4 linked regions of the Bombyx mori genome follow. The protein of the gene in region 3 interacts with the protein of the main gene of each other region in a pairwise test. Links are inferred from orthologs where the notes say so. Each region holds a gene or a part of one and is shown on either strand. Other genes may lie near its edges. The genes, in order: beta-TrCP, S-phase kinase-associated protein 2, S-phase kinase-associated protein and F-box/SPRY domain-containing protein 1.

What was found.
Region 1: the proteins of S-phase kinase-associated protein (region 3) and beta-TrCP interact in a two-hybrid assay, tested with the Drosophila melanogaster proteins (3 studies listed by BioGRID). The link is inferred for Bombyx mori from reciprocal best matches to the Drosophila melanogaster genes SkpA and slmb.
Region 2: the proteins of S-phase kinase-associated protein (region 3) and S-phase kinase-associated protein 2 interact in a two-hybrid assay, tested with the Drosophila melanogaster proteins (2 studies listed by BioGRID). The link is inferred for Bombyx mori from reciprocal best matches to the Drosophila melanogaster genes SkpA and Skp2.
Region 4: the proteins of S-phase kinase-associated protein (region 3) and F-box/SPRY domain-containing protein 1 interact in a two-hybrid assay, tested with the Drosophila melanogaster proteins (2 studies listed by BioGRID). The link is inferred for Bombyx mori from reciprocal best matches to the Drosophila melanogaster genes SkpA and Fsn.

The regions. Positions count from the first base shown.
Region 1 is NC_085130.1:17,505,437-17,510,281, reverse strand, and holds part of beta-TrCP, read left to right. Parts: intron 1-583; coding exon 584-770; intron 771-1,646; coding exon 1,647-1,782; intron 1,783-2,144; coding exon 2,145-2,273; intron 2,274-3,388; coding exon 3,389-3,580; intron 3,581-4,102; coding exon 4,103-4,246; intron 4,247-4,517; coding exon 4,518-4,708; intron 4,709-4,845.
Region 2 is NC_085117.1:568,024-573,485, reverse strand, and holds the start of S-phase kinase-associated protein 2, read left to right. Parts: upstream 1-2,094; 5' UTR 2,095-2,205; coding exon 2,206-2,273; intron 2,274-2,433; coding exon 2,434-2,506; intron 2,507-3,841; coding exon 3,842-3,922; intron 3,923-4,376; coding exon 4,377-4,503; intron 4,504-5,462. Other genes in the region: BCL2/adenovirus E1B 19 kDa protein-interacting protein 3, read right to left, coding at 341-380.
Region 3 is NC_085119.1:7,149,966-7,154,364, reverse strand, and holds S-phase kinase-associated protein, read right to left. Parts: upstream 3,253-4,399; 5' UTR 3,106-3,252; intron 3,015-3,105; coding exon 2,526-3,014; 3' UTR 1,846-2,525; downstream 1-1,845.
Region 4 is NC_085110.1:9,214,631-9,220,106, reverse strand, and holds F-box/SPRY domain-containing protein 1, read left to right. Parts: upstream 1-1,637; 5' UTR 1,638-2,620; coding exon 2,621-2,949; intron 2,950-3,040; coding exon 3,041-3,314; intron 3,315-4,257; coding exon 4,258-4,348; intron 4,349-4,879; coding exon 4,880-4,974; 3' UTR 4,975-5,207; downstream 5,208-5,476. UniProt on the Drosophila melanogaster protein: Required in the presynaptic motoneuron to down-regulate the levels of wnd and restrain synaptic terminal growth at the neuromuscular junction (NMJ). Negatively regulates the localization of vas to the posterior pole of the oocyte.

The sequences.
Region 1 (4,845 bases), on a different chromosome or scaffold from region 3:
TACGCTTTTATAGTCTATACATCCCTAGATTAATCGAGAACATTCTAGGCAAGTCGAGTGGCTTCGATGCGTGTTTCCGCTATATGACAATAGATGGCGTTGTAAATTTCAAGCGTTCTCGATGTTACTAGTTCTTTTGATATTCATTTCTGCTATTCGGTGATAGATGACGTTACTCTTACCGGCGTAACAATAGTTTAACCTCTTCTTTTTAATTTCACCGGCTGTATACCGTATCCATTATGGCCAAGTCGTATCTTTGTAAATAGCAAATATACGACTGATCTTATACCTTTAAACGAGCAATTCTTGTATATATATAACCAGAATCTCGGAAACGGCTCCAATGATTTTCATAAAATTTAGTATACAGGGGATTTCGGGGGCGATAAATCGATTACGATTTATTTTCAGAAAATGTTGTTTTATTCGTGTTTTAAATAATCAACTTTATCGATAATTAACTTTATGAATCTTCCCGACATCTATTGGTGAATTTATTGCTTTAAAGACACAACAAGATGGCGTTATAAAAAAAAAAGCCGGTCATCATCTAGTATTGTTAATACACGCTCGTTTTCAGAAAAAGGCCTGGACCACGTCGCAGAGAACATACTGTCGTACCTGGACGCGAGCTCTCTATGTGCGGCCGAGTTGGTTTGCCGCGAGTGGTTGAGGGTGATATCGGAAGGGATGCTGTGGAAGAAGCTCATCGAGAGGAAGGTCCGTACGGATTCGCTGTGGCGCGGCCTCGCCGAGCGGAGGGGATGGTGAGTTGGCTCCTTGTGTTCATGTTGTCCTGGTACATTGACATTTTTTTTTATATAGCCGGATGGTGAGTTGGCTCCTTGTGTTCATGTTGTCCTGGTACATTGACATTTTTTTTATATAGCCGGATGGTGAGTTGGCTCCTTGTGTTCATGTTGTCCTGGTACATTGACATTTTTTTTATATAGCCGGATGGTGAGTTGGCTCCTTGTGTTCATGTTGTCCTGGTACATTGACATTTTTTTTTATATAGCCGGATGGTGATTTGGCTCCTTGTGTTCATGTTGTTCTGGTACATTGTCATTTTTTTTATATAGCCGGATGGTGAGTTAGCTCCTTGTTTCATGTTGTCCTGGTATATTGTCATCATTGTTTTTTATAGCCTTTATCCATGATGACCTTTACTGGAGCTCATAGACATCTACTACGTAAATGCGCCACCCACCTTGAGATATAAGTTCTAAGGTCTCAGTATAGTTACAACGGCTGCCCGACCCTTCAAACCGAAACGCGTTACTGCTTCACGGCAGAAACAGGCAAGGCGGTGGTACCTACCCGTGCGGACTCACAAGAGGTCCTATCACCAGTAATTACGCAAATTATAATTTTGCGGGTTTGATTTTTATTACACGATGCTATTCCTTCACCGTGGAAGTCAATCGTGAACATTTGTGAAGTACGTATTTCATTAGAAAAATTGGTACCCGCCTGCGGGATTCGAACACCGGTGCATCGCTTCAACACGAATGCACCGGACGTCTTATCCTTTAGGCCACGACTTACACTTTTTGGTTTCTTCCATCCGATTGATATTATGTGAGAGTCCTCGGGAATGAGTCGTGTGAGCAACTCATGACGTATCTGCTTCCCCTCCCCAGGATACAGTACCTGTTCAAACCGAAGCCTGGCTGCCAACATCCGTCACACTCATTCTACAGACAACTATATCCCAAGATAATAAAGGACATACAATCTATAGAGGACAATTGGAGAATGGGAAAACATAATTTACAGGTAAAAATTATTTTGCTTTATTTATTTATTTCTTACACTTCATGTAAAATTTACATTGGCGGACTTAATGCCTAAGGCATTCTCTACCAGTCAACCAAAGGTAGTGCAGAGTAAATAGTGGTAGGTGCAATGAAATCTATATATTAATACGTGAAGCAGAAACTTTGTATCCTTTTTACGAAAATTGCGCGGACGGAGGAATATGAAATTTTCCACACTTATAGAGAATATAGAGAAGCAGTGCACAATTCTCATATTTTTTAAGATAATGCATAAAAGATACATTAAATCAACAAAGAAAACATTACACACATTCCGAATCACCATTTCATTTATTCACATTTTTTTCATTTCTGTTACAGAGGATAAACTGCAGATCGGAGAATTCCAAAGGCGTATATTGCTTACAGTACGACGACAATAAGATAGTATCGGGCCTTAGAGATAACACAATAAAAATATGGGACAGAAAGACACTGCAGTGCGTCAGAGTGAGTATGGAAATAAATAACAAACCAATTGAGGACCTCAACTGGATTTATACTCAGTGGAGGACGTGGTTACTGAAGTCTATATACGTTTTTTTTAAGGGATTTTATGACCTGGTAACTAAGACCTTTAGGTCAAGTCTTATTTTAATTTTAATGATAACTTTTTTATATGAAAAATGATAATATGGATTGAAATGAAATGAAGAAGATTAATTTGTGATCAACTGGGATGAAATTCAATAAAATGATATGGGATGATTTATAGTCTTAGTAAAATGGTGGTCATTTACTGAAATTTTTTTAGTGGACTTTTTGGGAGGATCCCGAGAAGTTGCGTCCAGCAACTTTGTTTTATTTTCCCACATTTGTGCACTTTCACAGATATACTAAACAGTTAATAAACCACCATTATTACACATTTAAACCTGAAGAAACACTAAATAAACAAAATAAAACAAATCACACAACTTCATTCCTCGCGTTCCCGCCAAAAAGTCGTCTATATACAACATAAACGTTGTCAGCTCAACTCGACGCATCAAGATTTCTAAGCCTCAGTTTTTATAGTACAACACCAGCTCGATACTCATCAAACCGAAACGCATTACTGCTTCACGGCAGAAATAGTCAAGGTGGTGGCACCTACCCGTGCGGACTCACAAAAGGTCCTATCACCAGTAATTATGCGAATTATAATTTTTCATTATACGATGTTATTCCTTCATCGTGGAAGTCAATCGTGAACATTTGTCAAGTACGTATTTCATTAGAAAAATTGGTACCCGCCTGCGGGATTCGAACACCGGTGCATCGCTACATACGAATGCACCGGACGTCTTATCCTTTAGGACACTACTGGTGGTAGGGCTAGCTGTGAGTCCGTATTTCTGCCGTGAAGCAGTAATGTGTTTCGCTTTGATAAGTGAGGTAGCCGTTGTACTGTATAAACGGAGACTTTAGAACTCATATCTTTAGGTGGGTGGCGGCTTTTAAGTTGTAGATGTCTATAGGCTCCGGTAACCACTTACTTACCGGCTGTGAGCTCGTCTACTCATCTATCCCTTTCATCTCTAAAAATAATTTCTTACTACATCTTATGTCTTCGATCCTTCCAGGAGCTGCAAGGTCACACGGGGTCGGTTCTGTGCCTGCAGTACGACGAGCGCGCCATCATATCCGGCTCGTCGGACTCCACCGTGCGCGTGTGGGACGTGTCCACGGGCGCCATGCTCAACACGCTCATCCACCACTGCGAGGCGGTGCTGCACCTGCGCTTCTGCAACGGGATGATGGTCACTTGCAGCAAGGTGAGCCTGACGCTTGGTCCCCTTAGTGCCGAAGCCTAACGGGGTCTGACTTGAAGCCATTTTAAGCTATTGCATAGCTTTTATCGCGGGCCTTGAGCGCGGCGACCGAATCATGAAATTCCGTAACGAAAAAAACCTAACACCCCCCAGTCCGCCTACCATGTAGCTCGCGTTCAACACATTCACACGTGGCGCTTGTGTCGTGTTTGTGAATAAGCGCGCGGCGTGACATCGCACTGCATGCGCATCATGAAAAGTCTGCCCATCTCTCCCTCGCGCGGTCTTGCTTATGAGTGTGAAGGGGACAGTTAAGGTTTTGCTTTTGTTAATGTTTATAAATATAGCGTAGTCTTGTTTTATTATTGTTTTAATATTAAATTATCATTGTCTAATTATAATTGCATAAGTTGATAAAAAATGCTACGCAATAGATTTACCGCGGCAGTCCCCGAGTGCCACACTGTTTTTTTTTTTTTAATTAATAAATTGTTATTATAAAGGGTGTGTTTTTGCGGCTTTCAGGATCGTTCGATAGCCGTGTGGGATATGACGTCGACGACGGAGATAATGCTGAGGCGAGTGCTGGTGGGACACAGGGCCGCTGTCAATGTCGTTGACTTTGACGAGAAATATATTGTCAGTGCGTCCGGTGATAGAACTATAAAAGTACGTATTGTTACAACATCACTCACACGTCATTGCGGATCCTCCCGATCCATTAACGGTAACTTTTAGGTACCAAAAGCATCTCAAGGGTTTGGAGAGTAAATTAACCATCAGACACAGCCCACTGAGTTTCTCGCCGAATTTTCTCAGTGGGTCGCATTTCCGTCCATGGGCGCTGTCTACTAGTTAACAAATGATGTATGTTTGTTTATGTGTACGTGTATGTATGTACGTATGTAATGTTTTTGTTTTCGTTCGTGGCGTCGTGCAGGTGTGGAACACGTCGTCGTGCGAGTTCGTGCGCACGCTGAACGGGCACAAGCGCGGGATCGCGTGCCTGCAGTACCGGGACCGGCTCGTCGTGTCGGGGTCCTCGGACAACACCATCCGGCTGTGGGACATCGAGTGCGGCTCGTGCATCCGGGTGCTCGAGGGGCACGAGGAGCTCGTGCGCTGCATACGGTCAGTCAGTCAGACAGCGAGGACTTCGCTTCGGAAACATTATTGAAGTGAAACTTCTTTAGGATCGTTGTGATTTCAAACTGGATGAAACGAAATGCAAAAAAAAAACGTATGGCACTCGGGAACTGCCGCGGTAT
Region 2 (5,462 bases), on a different chromosome or scaffold from region 3:
AGGTACCTACGCATTTTTAGTTACGGTAAAAGCTGACTAAATAGGAATATGATTAAGCCATATCTTTTTCATTAGGATTATGGTATTTTCATATAGCCGGTTAACATCAGACGAATCACGTACGCAGATTGTGACGCACTATCGCGTGTTTTCGATTTTGCTGACCTCGACAGTTCAACAGGCTATATGACGCCATTTCGCGAAATCAAAACAACAGCTGTTAGAAAAAAAAACAAAAGCAAACTCCCAAAAATTGCGTTTTATGTAATAAATGAGACGTAAAAGAAACCTGTTTGTAAAGTTGGACGCCACATACTCAATGTTTATTTACAACACTCACCGCTCAAGTCTTCGATTGTGTTCAGTTTTCTCGACGCCATCGCGCGGAAATAAGTCGTGGTACTAGAAAATTACTTATAAACGTATTTTTAATAATATACGCTGTGTTCAACCGGGCTTCTTCGCTTTTAAAATGCGAAAACAAAGAAAGAACGGACTGAATCAACACCGAATGCAACCTTCTTTGTTTGTGTTTTGTGTTGTTTTGATTGGAACTGACAGTTGTGGATAGTGTGGCATAATCAGTTCAGATACGATATGCGATATGATTAAATTTGTTAATCGATTAAAGTTCGATTTCAGACGCCTTAACAGATTTTATTTCAAAATTGTGCAATTTAAAAAAATGTTGTTTTTCGAATGATTTCATTTTCATTTGTATATAATATGTTGAACCTAATAAATTTAATGTCTTCGATTTTTTCAGTATTATCGATTATTATTTTTCCTATCTATTCCAGTAACCTGGAGGGGTCATACCATATTCATCTGGCGAGTTAGGTGAGCTCGCGGTGCTTTAACCTGGCGAATTTGCTAACACTAGCCCTAGCAAGAGCAGTGCTTCACAAAATCTACCACTGGATCGGAAACGCGATCCACTGAGAACTGAGAGAATAATTGGCGGTAGGACCTCTTGTGAGTCCGTGTGAGTAGGTACCGCCACCCTGCCTATTTCTGCCTTAAAGCAGTACTGCGTTTTGGTTTAAAGGGTGGGGCAGCTGCTGTAACTGTAACATACTTGAGACTTTAGAACTTATATCTCAAGGTGGGTGGCGCATTTACGTTGTAGATGTCTATGGGCTCCAGTAACCACTTAACACCAGGTGGGCTGTGAGCTCGTCCCCCCATCTAAGCTATCTCAAGGTGGGTGGCGCATTTACGTTGTAGATGTCTATGGGCTCCAGTAACCACTTAACACCAGGTGGGCTGTGAGCTCGTCCCCCATCTAAGCAATAAAAAAAAAAGTTGGCGTGAAACTCAGTGCGCTGGAATTTTGATCTTAAAGTTGTAAAAACAGGAGGTAAATCATGATAAGATAAATTTTTTTTTCATTTATCCTTACACTTCTATATTTACAAAATGAAATAAATAACTTTTAATCCAGAAGTGAAACCTACCCAGAAATAGTTTCCAAGTTAATCTTATTGTTTTATTGTTTTGTTTTACTATCTACCGTGTTTAGTCTAATAAAAACGGGGACAATGTAATAAATAAAAATACCGAAGAATTCCTTATTTAATGTGCTCTGAACTTTAAGCGCTTACAGCTGTCGATCAAGGCTGGTTTGAATGGTTACTTCGAGATAGAACAGCAGAGAGCGAGAGCGCGTATCCGTTTCTCGTAATGAATTAAGTCATAGTGTAACTATGTGTCATTGGTGACCTTAATCTTTAAGGATAATTAGATTTTGTCATCAACAAAGTATAAATATGTTAAGTCAATCGAGAAATTTTATGCCTTGATTCAAGAAAAAAAATCGCGTGGTAGCTGCGATGGTGTGAAAAAATATCAAATAATAGTAATAATTAAAGACAAGTTAAATATATAAATAAATAGAGAGAAATTGTATAATATAAATAATTCATAATAATAATAAATAATTTAAAAAAATCTGTTTTTCGGCAAGCTTAATAATCAATCTGAGTGGCAATCATGAGCAAAGAAGTCCTCGATTTAGTAATAGCAAGTGTGACATTAATGCCCAATGTCAATGTCAGTTTGTACGTTTAAAAAATTTGTCATATTTGTCTATAGCTGAATTCCTTTTTTTTTAGTTTAATTTTGACTTCAAAGTGCTATCTGTTGCGTGTGCCAAATTTTTTATCTAGCTATATTTGGAAATTTATAATACAAAATTAAGTGAAAATGAACATTAGTGGTCTGGAAGATGAAGTTAATTCACCCGTTAAACCAGACGATGCAGAAAGTCCTAGGTGAGACTTGAATTTTTAGCAAAAATCGTCATGGAATTCAATCTGACATGACAGCTGATTTTCAGCGGTAAAGTTGAATGGCGCGAAATAATCACGCCCTAATTATTATTTTTACACTACTATATTTACGGTTATTCAAAGAGTTGGAATATTATTTCAGCAAGAAAAAACTTAGAATAAGTAATTCGACGCGGAAAAGTTGGAGTTTGATGGACAAACGAACGAATTACGAGGTATGTAGTAATTTTTTCCCGCCCTCTTCCGTTCTAGTTAAAAACTTTTTATTTGATATCAATCGTGTTTTAACTATCATTCGAGTTTCTCACAGCTCCTAAATCCAATATTAATATACATATCGAGTTTGGGACGCGTAATTTTATAGTTTTGCCACAAAACACGCAAATGAACTGAGATCGAAATATGTATACATGCTCCCATTTTCATGTATAGATTTTATGGGTTCTCCGGCGTGTAGTGAGCAATGGTTGATACTGCCACCCTGCGAGGTCCCATATAAGCAGTCGGGTGACCATTATTCACAAACAAATAAGACTGTATGAATATATGCTCATACAGCAACATTACAAACAGATTCTGGACCATTTCTCAGTTATGCAAATTTTGTTTAAGTCATCACTATTATAAGTAATGCTTTCAAATAATATTATGTATTTTTATATGTTATGCACATATTTACTAGTGATAGGAGGACATATTGTGAGCCTGTACTGGTAGGTAACATGCCCCTGCCTATTTCTGATGTGAAGCAGCAATGCACTTGGTTTTTAAGGGTGGGGCAGCCATAGAACTGAAACTTAGAGCTTACTCTCATGGTAGGTGGTGGCATTGACATTGTTGATTTATAGACATCAATAACCCATAGGGTTCTGGGAAGCACTTAACACAAGGTAGGCCCTGATTTGATTCACCTATCAAAGCAAGAAAAGCTTTAAAAAAGACAAGGAACGGGACAAGCTATGTTTCTAGTAATTTTTTCTCAATTACTAAATTTCTATTTGTATTTAGAGGTACTAGATTAATACATGAGTGGTCCAAACACACATTCAAGCATAGACATTGAAAAATATAAGGTTAAATGTAGTTTAAAGAAACATTTGAGAATTGTCTTTTATAATCCTGTACCATATTAAATCATAAAAAGCCTATAGGCTTTCATTGAAGAAGATCTGATTTACGGGCATCCTATGTTATTCTACACAACAAAAGGAATATGTTTGATTAAAATTCGATCAACATAGATTAAGATATCAATTTTGATTTGCATCAGACTAGCTGAGCATAGATCATCAAAGTGCTCTATGGGATACTAGGTTTCTTCAAAGGGTTTTGGAGATATGATATAACTTTGTTTTTCTGTACTGAAATACAAAGGTTTGATTAATCTTAGAAATACATATTTTTCAATTCTTATAATGTTTGCATAGTAATAATTACATATTAGAACTAATTGTTTAATACTAATGTTTAATCCATAGATAGAATAATGTCTCATGTTAAAGGGAACTGTATGATTTTGGGAATAAATAAAGTTTAAACTTTATTTTTAGGTATTACAAGAAATGGGGGTTAGTTTGCTTGAGCCTGATGATAATGAACAATCCTGTGAACTGAGTTCGAGCAGTGGAGGGGTGAGTTTTATGTTTTTGTATCGCTGTCTGTGTTTGGCGACACAACCCTTGTGGTAAGTGCTTTGTTTGCTAATGGAAGTCCTGCACAGCCAAGTTACAATGAGGAGCAGGTCTAATTTTAAAACTCCCGGTAACAGTAGGCTCGTTTAACCATTACCATTTTACTGGTGGTAGGACCTCTTGTGAGTCCGCGCGGGTGGGTACCACCGCCCTGCCTATTTCTGCCGTGAAGCAGTAATGCGTTTCGGTTTGAAGGGTGGGGCAGCTGTTGTAACTATACTTGAGACCTTAGAACTTGTATCTCAAGGTGGGTGGCACATTTACGTTGTAGATGTCTATGGGCTCCAGTAACCACTTAACACCAGGTGGGCTGTGAGCTCGTCCACCCATCTAAGCAATAAAAAAAGATAAAAAATTGAGATAATGGAAATTCAACAGTTTATTTTGATTCCAGCACCACCACAAAGGCACAAAACGAAAACGGGACATAGAAAACGTGAATCCAAATACGAATTCATGTTCTCCGATCACAAAACGAAGCCCGGGACCTTCCAAGGCGAAGAGCCCTCGCGTTCACACCGGTAAGTCTTCCATAAAGTCTCGCTGCTCATCAAAATAACACTTTGATAAGTTTAATATCGGTTTGTGCAGAAACTATGTCCTCAAATATTTGCCAGGGGTGGTTGCTGGTTTGTTAAATATGAATGCTTCAAAACAACAATCATTCATGCTTACTTTGGTAAATTAATATTATTTTAGGCTATTTGGGTTTCATCCATAAGTTAATTGTCTATCTTTGTGTTTTTATTTTTATTTTTTTTTATTGCTTAAATGGGTGGACTAGCTCACAGCCCACCTGGTATTAAGTGGTTAATGGAGCCCATAGACATCTACGACGTAAATGCGCCACCCACCTTGAGATATCAATTCTATGGTCTCAGTATAGTTACAACGGCTGTCCCGCCCTTCAAACCGGAACGCATTACTGCTTCACGGCAGAAATAGGCAGGGTGGTGATACCTATCCGCGTGGACTCACAAGAGGCCCTATCACTAGTAATTACGCAAATTGTAATTTTGCTGGTTTGATTTTTATTACACGATGTTATTCCTTCACCGTGGAAGTCAATCGTGAACATTTGTCCAGTACGTATTTCATTACAACAATTGGTACCCTCCTGCGGGATTCGAACACCGATGCATCGTTCAACACGAATGCACCGGACGTCTTATCCGTTAGGCCACGACGACTTCAACGACGACTATGGTCCAGGGTACTGTTAGTAGTGAGAAGGCCGAACTTTTTAAAAAAAAAGGATTTATTCGAAACTACACAATATTTTTAATGAATAATTAATTATAATAAAAGAATTTAGAAATAGTGAGGAAAATTGGTAAACGTCTCACTTCAATGAATATCTGACCCGAACTGAGCCTGGTATGTTCTCATGAAATCACTGTGAGAGAGCTTATGATGAGTAAGGTGTTTGGTAAGCATTAGTCTATACAGGCTAGGGATATAACAGTACGAATACTTTCCA
Region 3 (4,399 bases):
ATATTTTTGATATTTGTATTTGTAATAGAGAGCTCAAGGTAAATGTAACACAATGAGAACATTATGTAAAAAAAAAAAACCAGTGGAATGAGCTATATTCCTTGGCACTAGACCAGGAAAATGCTAACAAAAAGAAGAAGGAATGTGTCTTTTTTTTTTTTTTCGGGTAGAGGGCCGAACCTCCTACGAGGTCCCCGCGCAAAAGGGGCGCGCGGGGTATGTGAGACTACGATCTGCATGGTGTTGTGAACAGACCGCGGGCCCAAGGATTTTAGGGCCCACCCACTAAACGACTCCCCTGCACTCTTACACCCGACGTCCGATCCCCTCCGAGGTCAGAACCCGGATGAGGTAGGGGCGTTACCGCGGTCAACACTACAACCAGACGGCGCGGCTAACCCCAAGGACGCCCAGCCGACGGAGCCTTCGAGGCGAATCGAAGGCTCTGAAACGTCGGCCGTCTCGGTACGGCAGCCCGTCGGGCCGCCCAGACGGTGCCGCTGGTGTCCCGGAATACCCCGCTGGACCAAAACCAGCCTGCCGGGTCGGGACGCGATACACCGTCGACCGGTCGCTCTATTTACTGCTATATTGTTCCTGCTGTACATCAAGGGAGGTAGAGAGAAGATAGCAACCTCATACATTGGATAGCATTGGAGTAACACGCACATTTAGTTACGAATTAAGGAAAATATTGCAGATGTCAAACCCAACATAAGTCTGATTTATTTTAACATACTCTGGACAGTGCTAATAGTGAAATTTAACATGGCTCAATACACCCTAAACAATCCTTAATTCCATAAATAGCTCATGAAGCTATTGTAAATAAAAGGAAAAAAGGTTGGATCAGAAAAAAAGTAATCATCTGACTATTACATGAAACCCCAAGTCAAACAAACTATGAGACCTAAACATTATGTTCTATGAAAAGGAGAGAATAAATAATTGATAATTATTATTAATTATTTTTTTTCATTTGTAATGATATTTTATTATTAAAATAATAATGATTGTAAACAATAAATAATTGCCAATAAGATTTTTTTCATTACAAATTTTATAGTTTACTTGCACCTCTTATCCATGACCACAAAAACTGTTAGATTTTGAAACTGAAATTATAAATTGATAATAATATACTCAAGATAAACTGTAAAAGTAGTTTTTTAATTATAAAAATTACAATCCAACAAAAAATAATCACCTTTAAAATTTTGTTTTACATAGCATACAATGTAGCACAATATAAATTAAATTGCTGGAACTCACTTCCAGTTTCTTTTGAAAGAGGCAGACGGACATTTCTGACTATGGGTTCATATACTAAGCTTTAAAAGTAATTTTAATGACAAATATCTAAGAGGAAAAAATTGTTTCATATATATTATTTTCATTTGTTATGCTGATGGTTTAATTCTATCTTAGCATCAGGAACTGACTAAGGGAATGTGGTTATCAAATACATACATATACAGTGAAAATCTATTATAACAACATCGAAGGGACTGCTCATATTCAGTCGTAACAACCAGTGATGTTTAATGTGTATCGTGCAAGTACAAACAAAGTACAAACAAATCGATAGTGAATTATTGGAAAAATATATTTACACAAAACGCAATTTTTCTTTGTTATTAATTTGTTTTTTTTCTTTGCAACATTTTGAAAGTTTCACGAATAACTCCACAAAGTTTTGGTGTGTCTTGTGTATAGATAAGTAACAAACTAACTGAAAAGATATGAAGAAGTGGGCTTTGACTCTACCGCATACACATTTTTGTTTCTAAGAATTAGAAAAGACCCTACACTAAACAAAATCCTATTGTTTTCTTTCCTGATTTTAATAGCCATTGAAGACAAATGTGGATACCTATTCAAATTGTTTACAATACAGCTTAGCCGGTCGTTCTAACAGATCTAATTCTCCGAAATATTAGTTAAATGTGGTCATTTTATTAGGTATGTCGGTATTAGCAATGTCGTATAAAGCAATGTTTTTAATAAGGCGGTCATATAGCATTCAGCCGGGACCTTTGTTCTAGGTTATTATAACCAGCATGTTGCTCAAAATGATGTCGCAGTAAACGGTTGTGACTGTATATTTATTTACTTTTTGTATTGACATTGATGGTGACAAACTTATTTTTGTGGTTTAACATTGCAATGGATACTGGCAATTTCTGGACACAATCAAGACTACCCACACAATTAGTTAAAAAATAAGCAGATGACAAAAATTTAAGTCAGTGATTTATGCTAATTATTTCTATTTCATAAAGTAAATTTTCCAATAAATATAATACAATTAAAGTTAAATGAAAAGTAATTTAAATGATAATATGAAAATTTAAATTTTATTGAAAATCACAATGACATGATGTACCTATTTTTATATAATTTACAACACAAACAAATTTACTTGGTTTAAATTAATTATTCTTTATTGCCATGGGAAAAATAGTTTAATGTTGCATACATAGTGATAATACATAAAGATGCTTGCAAATAGCATTTATTATGGTTTACTTTTCTTCACACCATTCATTCTCTTTACGAACCTGATCTTCTTCTGCAGCAGTGAAATCATTCTTAATGTTGAACGTTTTACGGATTTCTTCAGGAGTCTTTCCTTTGATCATGTTTGCTACAGTTTTACATGTGACATCTAATAAACCCTTGATGTCCAAATAATTTGCAGCTAATATTAATTCAAAGAGTGTGCCTTGGTCAACTTTCAAAAAATCAGCATCCCATGATGATATGTCATCAGTCCTCTTTTCCTTGTTTTCGTCATCTTCTGGTAGCGGAGGATCGTCTTTATGATAAGTAGCCCACTGAATAACTTTTTTGAGTATTGCAGAATTGACATTAGGTAAAGGTACAACTTCCTCTTCATCCTCTTCCATGCCTAAGTCTTCTAGCATAGTTTTGATAGTTACGGAGCATTTGGCGATTTCAACATCAACAACGAAGACCTCGTTGTCTGATGATTGCAACTTAATATTTGGCATCTAGAACAAAAGAGCGGTGGGAACGTAAATCATAAAACGACGGCTGAGAATAAGACGCCATTTTCCAATTTATAAATAGCGAAGTATTTACCTTGTTTTTTCAAGTATTTGAATGTTCACAATTAAGTGAAATTTATTTATCTTCAAACGAAAATGCCCTTATGTTCTGGAGATTTTTCCTTAAACCCAAACAGTGAATCAATGAGTGAACGAATGAATAAAATCATTAATCAATTTTGTTTTTTTTTCTGCTTTCGTTTAAATTTTTCTAAGGGATTTTATGACCTGGTAACTAAGACCTTTAGGTCATGTCTTTTTTTAATTTATATTCAGATTTTTATAAATTTTTTATTATGGAGTGAAATGAAATGAAGATGATTAATTTGAGACATTAATCAACTGGGATGAAATTAAATGAAATGAGTTGATATGGTATGAAATATAATCTCAGTAAAATGGTGGTTATTTACTAAGATTTTTTCAGTGGACTTTTTGGAGGAACTCGAGAAGTTACGTCCAGCAGCTTTGTTTCATTTTCCCACTTTTGTGCACTTTCACAGATATTAAACATTTAATAAACCACCGTTATTACACATTTAAACCTGAAGAAACACTAAATAGACAAAATAAAACAAATCACACAACTTCACTCCTCGCGCTCCCGCCAAAAGTACCTCCAACACCAATTGTTTTTTAAGGGATTTTATGACCTCATAACTAAGACCTTTAAGTCATGTCTTATTTTAATTTATATTCTTATTTTTATGAAAAATGATAATATGGAGATAAATGAAATGAAATGAAGATGATTAATTTGAGAAATTAATCAACTTAGATGAAATTAAATGAAATTTGATGATATGGGATGAAATATGATCTCAGTAAAATGGTGGTCATTTACTGAGATTTTTTCAGTAGACTTTTTAGAGGAACCCGAGAACTTACGTCCAGCAGCTTTGTTTCATTTTCCCACTTTTGTGCACTTTCACAGATATTAAACAGTTAATAAGCCACCGTTATTACATATTTAAACCTGAAGAAACACTAAATAGACAAAATAAAACAAATCACACCACTTCACTCCTCGCGTTCCCGCCAAAAAGTCCCTCCAACACCAACATTCATTTCCCACCATAGATACACACTTAGTTTCCCACACAACTAAAAAAAAAAAGAAACTTGTGAATGGAGTAAAGAAGAAATCTAATATATAAAATTCTCGTGTCACAGTTTTCGTTGCCATACTCCTCCGAAACGGCTTGACCGATTTTGATGAAATTTTTTGTGCTTATCCGGTATCTATGAGAATCGGCCAACATATATTTTTCATCCCCCTAAATGTTAGGGGTAGTCCACCCCTAAATTTTTATTTTTATTTTTTAGAC
Region 4 (5,476 bases), on a different chromosome or scaffold from region 3:
CACAGATCATAGGATAATACAAAGAGTATGTAACATGGGATAATAGGTACACTGATGCACAATCACAGGCTAATAATGTAAGTTAGGGGTGAGGTGTATTTATCGAAACAGTCAAACGGAAAAGGCTCATCTATGTAAAAACTTGAAACTGTTGTCTAATGCCGGCCACTGACATGCGCGCAAATATTCGTACATTGTACGAATGTTTGTGCGCATGTGAAGGGCCGTCAAACATTCATTCGCAAACCTAGCGGCTGTGCAAATGGGTTCGCATAATCAATTTGCGAACCCGTTTGCGCTTCCTCCTACACTTGTTTACGAATGTCTCACGAATTTCTCCTCCTTTTTAATTCGTCAATAGAACATTGAAGAGAAAGAGTTTTTAATTCTTTCCCAGACATCATTAACAGCCATGCTGTTTTTATGGGATTTCTTTTGATGAAGATACGCTACACAGTAGACGTCACGAACTATGAAAATGGCGTATAGTATACGTCCGTTACCTTCGCAATCGTCGGCGCAACTGGGCAAGCGAATGTGTGGGAGACTACGCGAAGGTTCGAGGCTCGCGCGCTTTGATGTCTCTTAAAAAACCGATACAGCTTGGAAAACCACGAATGCAGCGAAAACTTTGCATAATCATTCGCAAATGTCGTCCTACACTTGTGGGTTTGCGTATTCGTGCGCATGTGAGTGACCGGTGTTAGTCTACTAAAATTTATAGTTGATTGTTTTTTGATACAATATTCCACTGGGTGGCAAAAGACACCTAGCCCATTGAATAAGTATTTAAAATAAAATGAATGAAACCGTATCTGTTAGACAAAATGTAAAATGGAGCATAATCACATAAATTCACTCATTTAAAGCTTTTCTTCGTTAAGAACGGTTAGCTGGTAGAAAACTCAATTGTTGAGTTAAGCTCGCCATTTTTTATCATCATATGAAATTAACGTAACGTTATCATAACATCATATGAAATTAACGAAAAAGTAACCTTTCAATATCCTTGTCTTTTGTCGTATCACTCTTGTCAGAGCGGTCGTGGTCGTCATTCAGCATCATTACTGTGGGTAGATGTTATGCGTTTCGTGAGCAATCGCCACTCCTCCCGGTTTATGGTGAGCCTGGTACGCACACGCAAAGAGCCGCCAACTGCCCATGCCGATTTGAAAACAGTGCAATGGGGGGAATTTATTCAAATTTCAATGACGAATTTAGAAAAACCTGAAGTAGGTCATACGACTTGAAATATTTTCCTAAACTTGTGTACATTTGTATGTCGTCGTCGTGGCCTAAAGGATAAGATGTCCGGTGCATTCGTGTGTAGCGATGCATTGGTGATCCAATCCCACACACAGGTGGGGACATTCCAAAACAATTTCCAATGAAATATGTATTTAAAAAAAAAACACGATTGACTTCCATGGTGAAAAAATAACATCGCGTAATAAAAATCAAACTTGAAAAAATATAATTTGCGTAGTTACTGGTGGTAGGTCGTCTTGTGAGTGCGCATGGGTCAGTACCACCACCCACACCAATTGAGCCGTGAGATCTTTGACCCATCTATCAATTAAAAAAAAAGTTTCAAAAATCTTCTCCACTAAGCGGTTCCACTGAAGTAGGAAACCTAAGCGGTTCATAACATTTTTTTAAAGGCAGACAATGACGACTTGGTGTAAGATGTGTTAAGTTACCACTATAAAATCTGAAGAAATCCTAAATTGGCAGAATATAACATTTAATTCGGGTTTAATGGGTCAGTGGGGAAATTAATGTATTTAAAAAATCATAACGTGACAAACAATTAACTACAGAAACTATGAATATGTTTTTTTTTTATTGCCCTTGTAGGCAGACGAGCATACGGCCCACCTGATGGTGAGTGGTTACTTCTTCGACTTCAGCAATGCCAGGGGCAGAGCCAAGCCGCTGCCTACCGCAAACTATATGAATAACTAACTAATATTAAAGAGCATGTGTGCAGTAAAACGAAGTAAAAGTAAAACTTTCAGAATTATTCCGTGTTATTCTCTCGCAGGCTAATAATCCTTTAGACATATCTTTTTGCCTTTTTCAGTGTCGCTTTTTCGTTACACCGATTTTCATGTCACAGTAGTGCTCAAGTAGTTTTTACTCCATTATTCATCTTCCCAAATGAAATAAAATCTTCTTATTTTCTGGTAAGTATTAATATTCATTTCAGGCAGTCCTGAGCCTGATAAGTACGTAGGAGAACATTCATATATTAACAATAAAAACAACAAATTTTCAACTAATCGTGTTTTACTATGTTATCATTAAAGTGTTAATCTTTAGATATTGTCTGCTGATTCGATAGCGTTGTTTAGAAATTGTGAAGCTCGTTTTAAATATTATTTTTCCATACTTGATGACTGGCTGTTTGAGACCTGTCCCTTTTGTAACAAAAGTCCAAAGTGGACAAAACAAAATAAAACAACTTAACCTGAAACTCAGAATTTCCAATAAATTTCATCAAAAGCAATAATATTAAAATTCAATCACTAACCCGCTGTAACCATAGATCTTTCTAAAAAGGTATTAAATAACTACCAAAATTGTGCATTTAAAATTAAATGCTTATTTCTACAATAAGATGCGTCAAATTCATAGATACAAAAAATATGCTTTTGCTGAAATCATACCTGACCATATTTTGGAACTTATTTTTTTGTATCTAAGATTGAGAGATATTCGAAACTGTGCGTTGGTATGTAAGACTTGGTATAGAATGCTCAGTGATGAGAATAATGAAGTGTGGAGATATCATTGTTATAGAAGATTAACAGAAGAAATGATGAAATCTGATTTACTTTCGTGCCTCAGAACTTATAGAGAAAAACTTAGAGCATATTGCCATGCTTGGAATCCGTATGATTGTTCGAGAAACATTTATATCAAACCAAATGGATTTACTTTACACAGGTAATGAATTTTAAATGCTCTTTAGAGTATATGTATGAAAATTTGATAATGGTGTCATTTCAAGAAACTAAGTCCAATACATTAATTTCAGAAATCCTGTAGCACAGAGTACAGATGCTTGTAGAGGAAAGGTTGGATTTTATCGTGGTCGTCATGCTTGGGAAATTATATGGGAAGGTCCCCTTGGCACAGTAGCTGTCATAGGGGTGTCAACTAGAGATGCACCATTGCAATGTCAAGGATATGTAGGATTGCTTGGTTCAGATGAACTGAGTTGGGGCTGGAATCTTGTTGATAATCATTTATTACACAATGGTGATACTCAAGGACACTATCCATTGTTAAATAACTGCCCCAAATATCAAGTAATGCTTTTATTCTATTTATAACATACAAAAAATAGCTCCTTAACATTAAAGCATACAAATTATTGATTAATTTAAATTTAATTACATTTTTCAAATTAAATACACTATGTAATTCAACAGAAATAAAAACCAGTTAATGCATAGGGTCTATTAGGGTCTCATTTGAAGGTTTTGTCCTCCCTTTGTATTATAGCAAATAACCTCACTGTTTATTAAAAAATCGTTCCAATGATTTTATCTTGCTAGTAAATGTTGCTAAAAATTATGATCTATTATTTTATAAATAATTGAAGTTTTACACATAATTTTTTTTCTATGTTTTGAACTAAACAATATCTAATAGAAGTAGATATGACTATAATAGGCAATAACAGCCACTTTTGTGTTCCTGACCCTCAAACTAGTGACCTTGTAGATTAGAATATTTTATAGAATATAATTTGTCCAGCAAACAATTATTTTGACTATTTATGAACAGGAGCAATATAATATAATATTTAGGAGCAGGAGCTAGGGGTCTTGGGCATGACGTGGGAGGAGCTAGAACAGACTGCCCAAGACTGATGTAAATGGAAAAAATTGATTCGAGCCCTACACCCCAGCAGAGGGTAATAGGAAGGAATGATGATGATGATTTATGAACACACTAAAGTGAAAAGGCATATCTCTGTTTTATTAGAATAGATATGGAAGATAACCTCTGTAGCTTTAAGTAGTTACAGTGTAAAAATCTATCTGATTATGACATCACTGCTTCTCAGCAGAAATATCCACAAAAGTAGTATCATTCTGACTGTTAATGTGTAAACCAAGAATAGATGTATGTAAAACGATATTAATGAATGTTTTGGATTTAATGGGGTTTATTTATGTAATGTATTATATAGCTGACTACTGTTGTGTTTCTATGATTTGGTTAAATCTAATAAATATCTTCCAGGTTGGTGAAAGAATAAGAGTGATACTTGATTGTGATCGTCACACCCTCTCATTTGAAAGGAATTATGAATTTTTAGGTGTTGCATTCCGTGGTAATGAAATAAAAATTTAATAATACATATGTATAATAAAGTCAAGAGAGAGTGATCAAAATCATGTTATAGTTATGTCATTAGACATTAATTTTAGTTTGATACCAATATATTATTATTACAATCATAACAGATTGTTGTATTTTAAAAAGTGGTAGGTACTTACTGGTGGTAGGACCTCTTGTGAGTCAGCGCGGGTAGGTACCACTGTCCTGCCTATTTCTGCCGTGAAGCAGTAATGTGTTTCAGTTTGAAGGACGGGGCAGTAACTATACTGAGATCTTAGAACTAATATCTCAAGGTGGGTGGCGCATTTATGTTGTAGATGTCTATGGGCTCCGGTAACCACTTAACACCAGGTGGGCTGTGAGCTCGTCCCTTCCATCTTAAGCAATAAAAAACAAGAAGGAAATAAAAATCAATTTGACTACAAATTATTATTTTAAAATATGATCAAAAACTATTTTTAGTACATAGATTATGTATGTACATGAACAGCTGTTTATTATATTATAAAATTTCACTTTTCAGGTCTACCCAATAAAAGACTTTATCCAACTATATCAGCAGTGTATGGAAATACAGAAGTTTCTATGGTGTATGTAGGTCCTCCGCTAGATGGCTGATAGAAAATCTACTTAATTGTAACTGGTATCTAGTCAAATAATTGTGATATAATGACATTCTGGAAAACATCTTGGTTTGTATTCTTAATAGTATTTGATATGAAATTATTCTGTTTTTGTTTTATGCTACTTAAAATGTGCAATTTTCTATTTTACATTTGTCAATATTATTTATTTCTTACAGATTATATTATGTTATGTAGGTATTCATTATATAAATCATAGAGATATCATCTTGTTTTTTCTTTTTTATTCTTGTATATGTTATCCTTAAATATTGTAGTAATAAATAAACGATGGAATCTGTTATTATTATTAACCAAAATGCAGTATAGTTTGAACTAATTAGTACCACTTGATTAAGAATTTTATCACTAATTTGTCGTACATTTAACGACAGTCAGTTTTTGTTCTTTTGTTTTGTTATTGTTAAGCAAGGAGATGGGACTTTCCATAAACAGGTTTATAACCAAAGTCATGGTGGTGAATAGGTCTGGAAAAT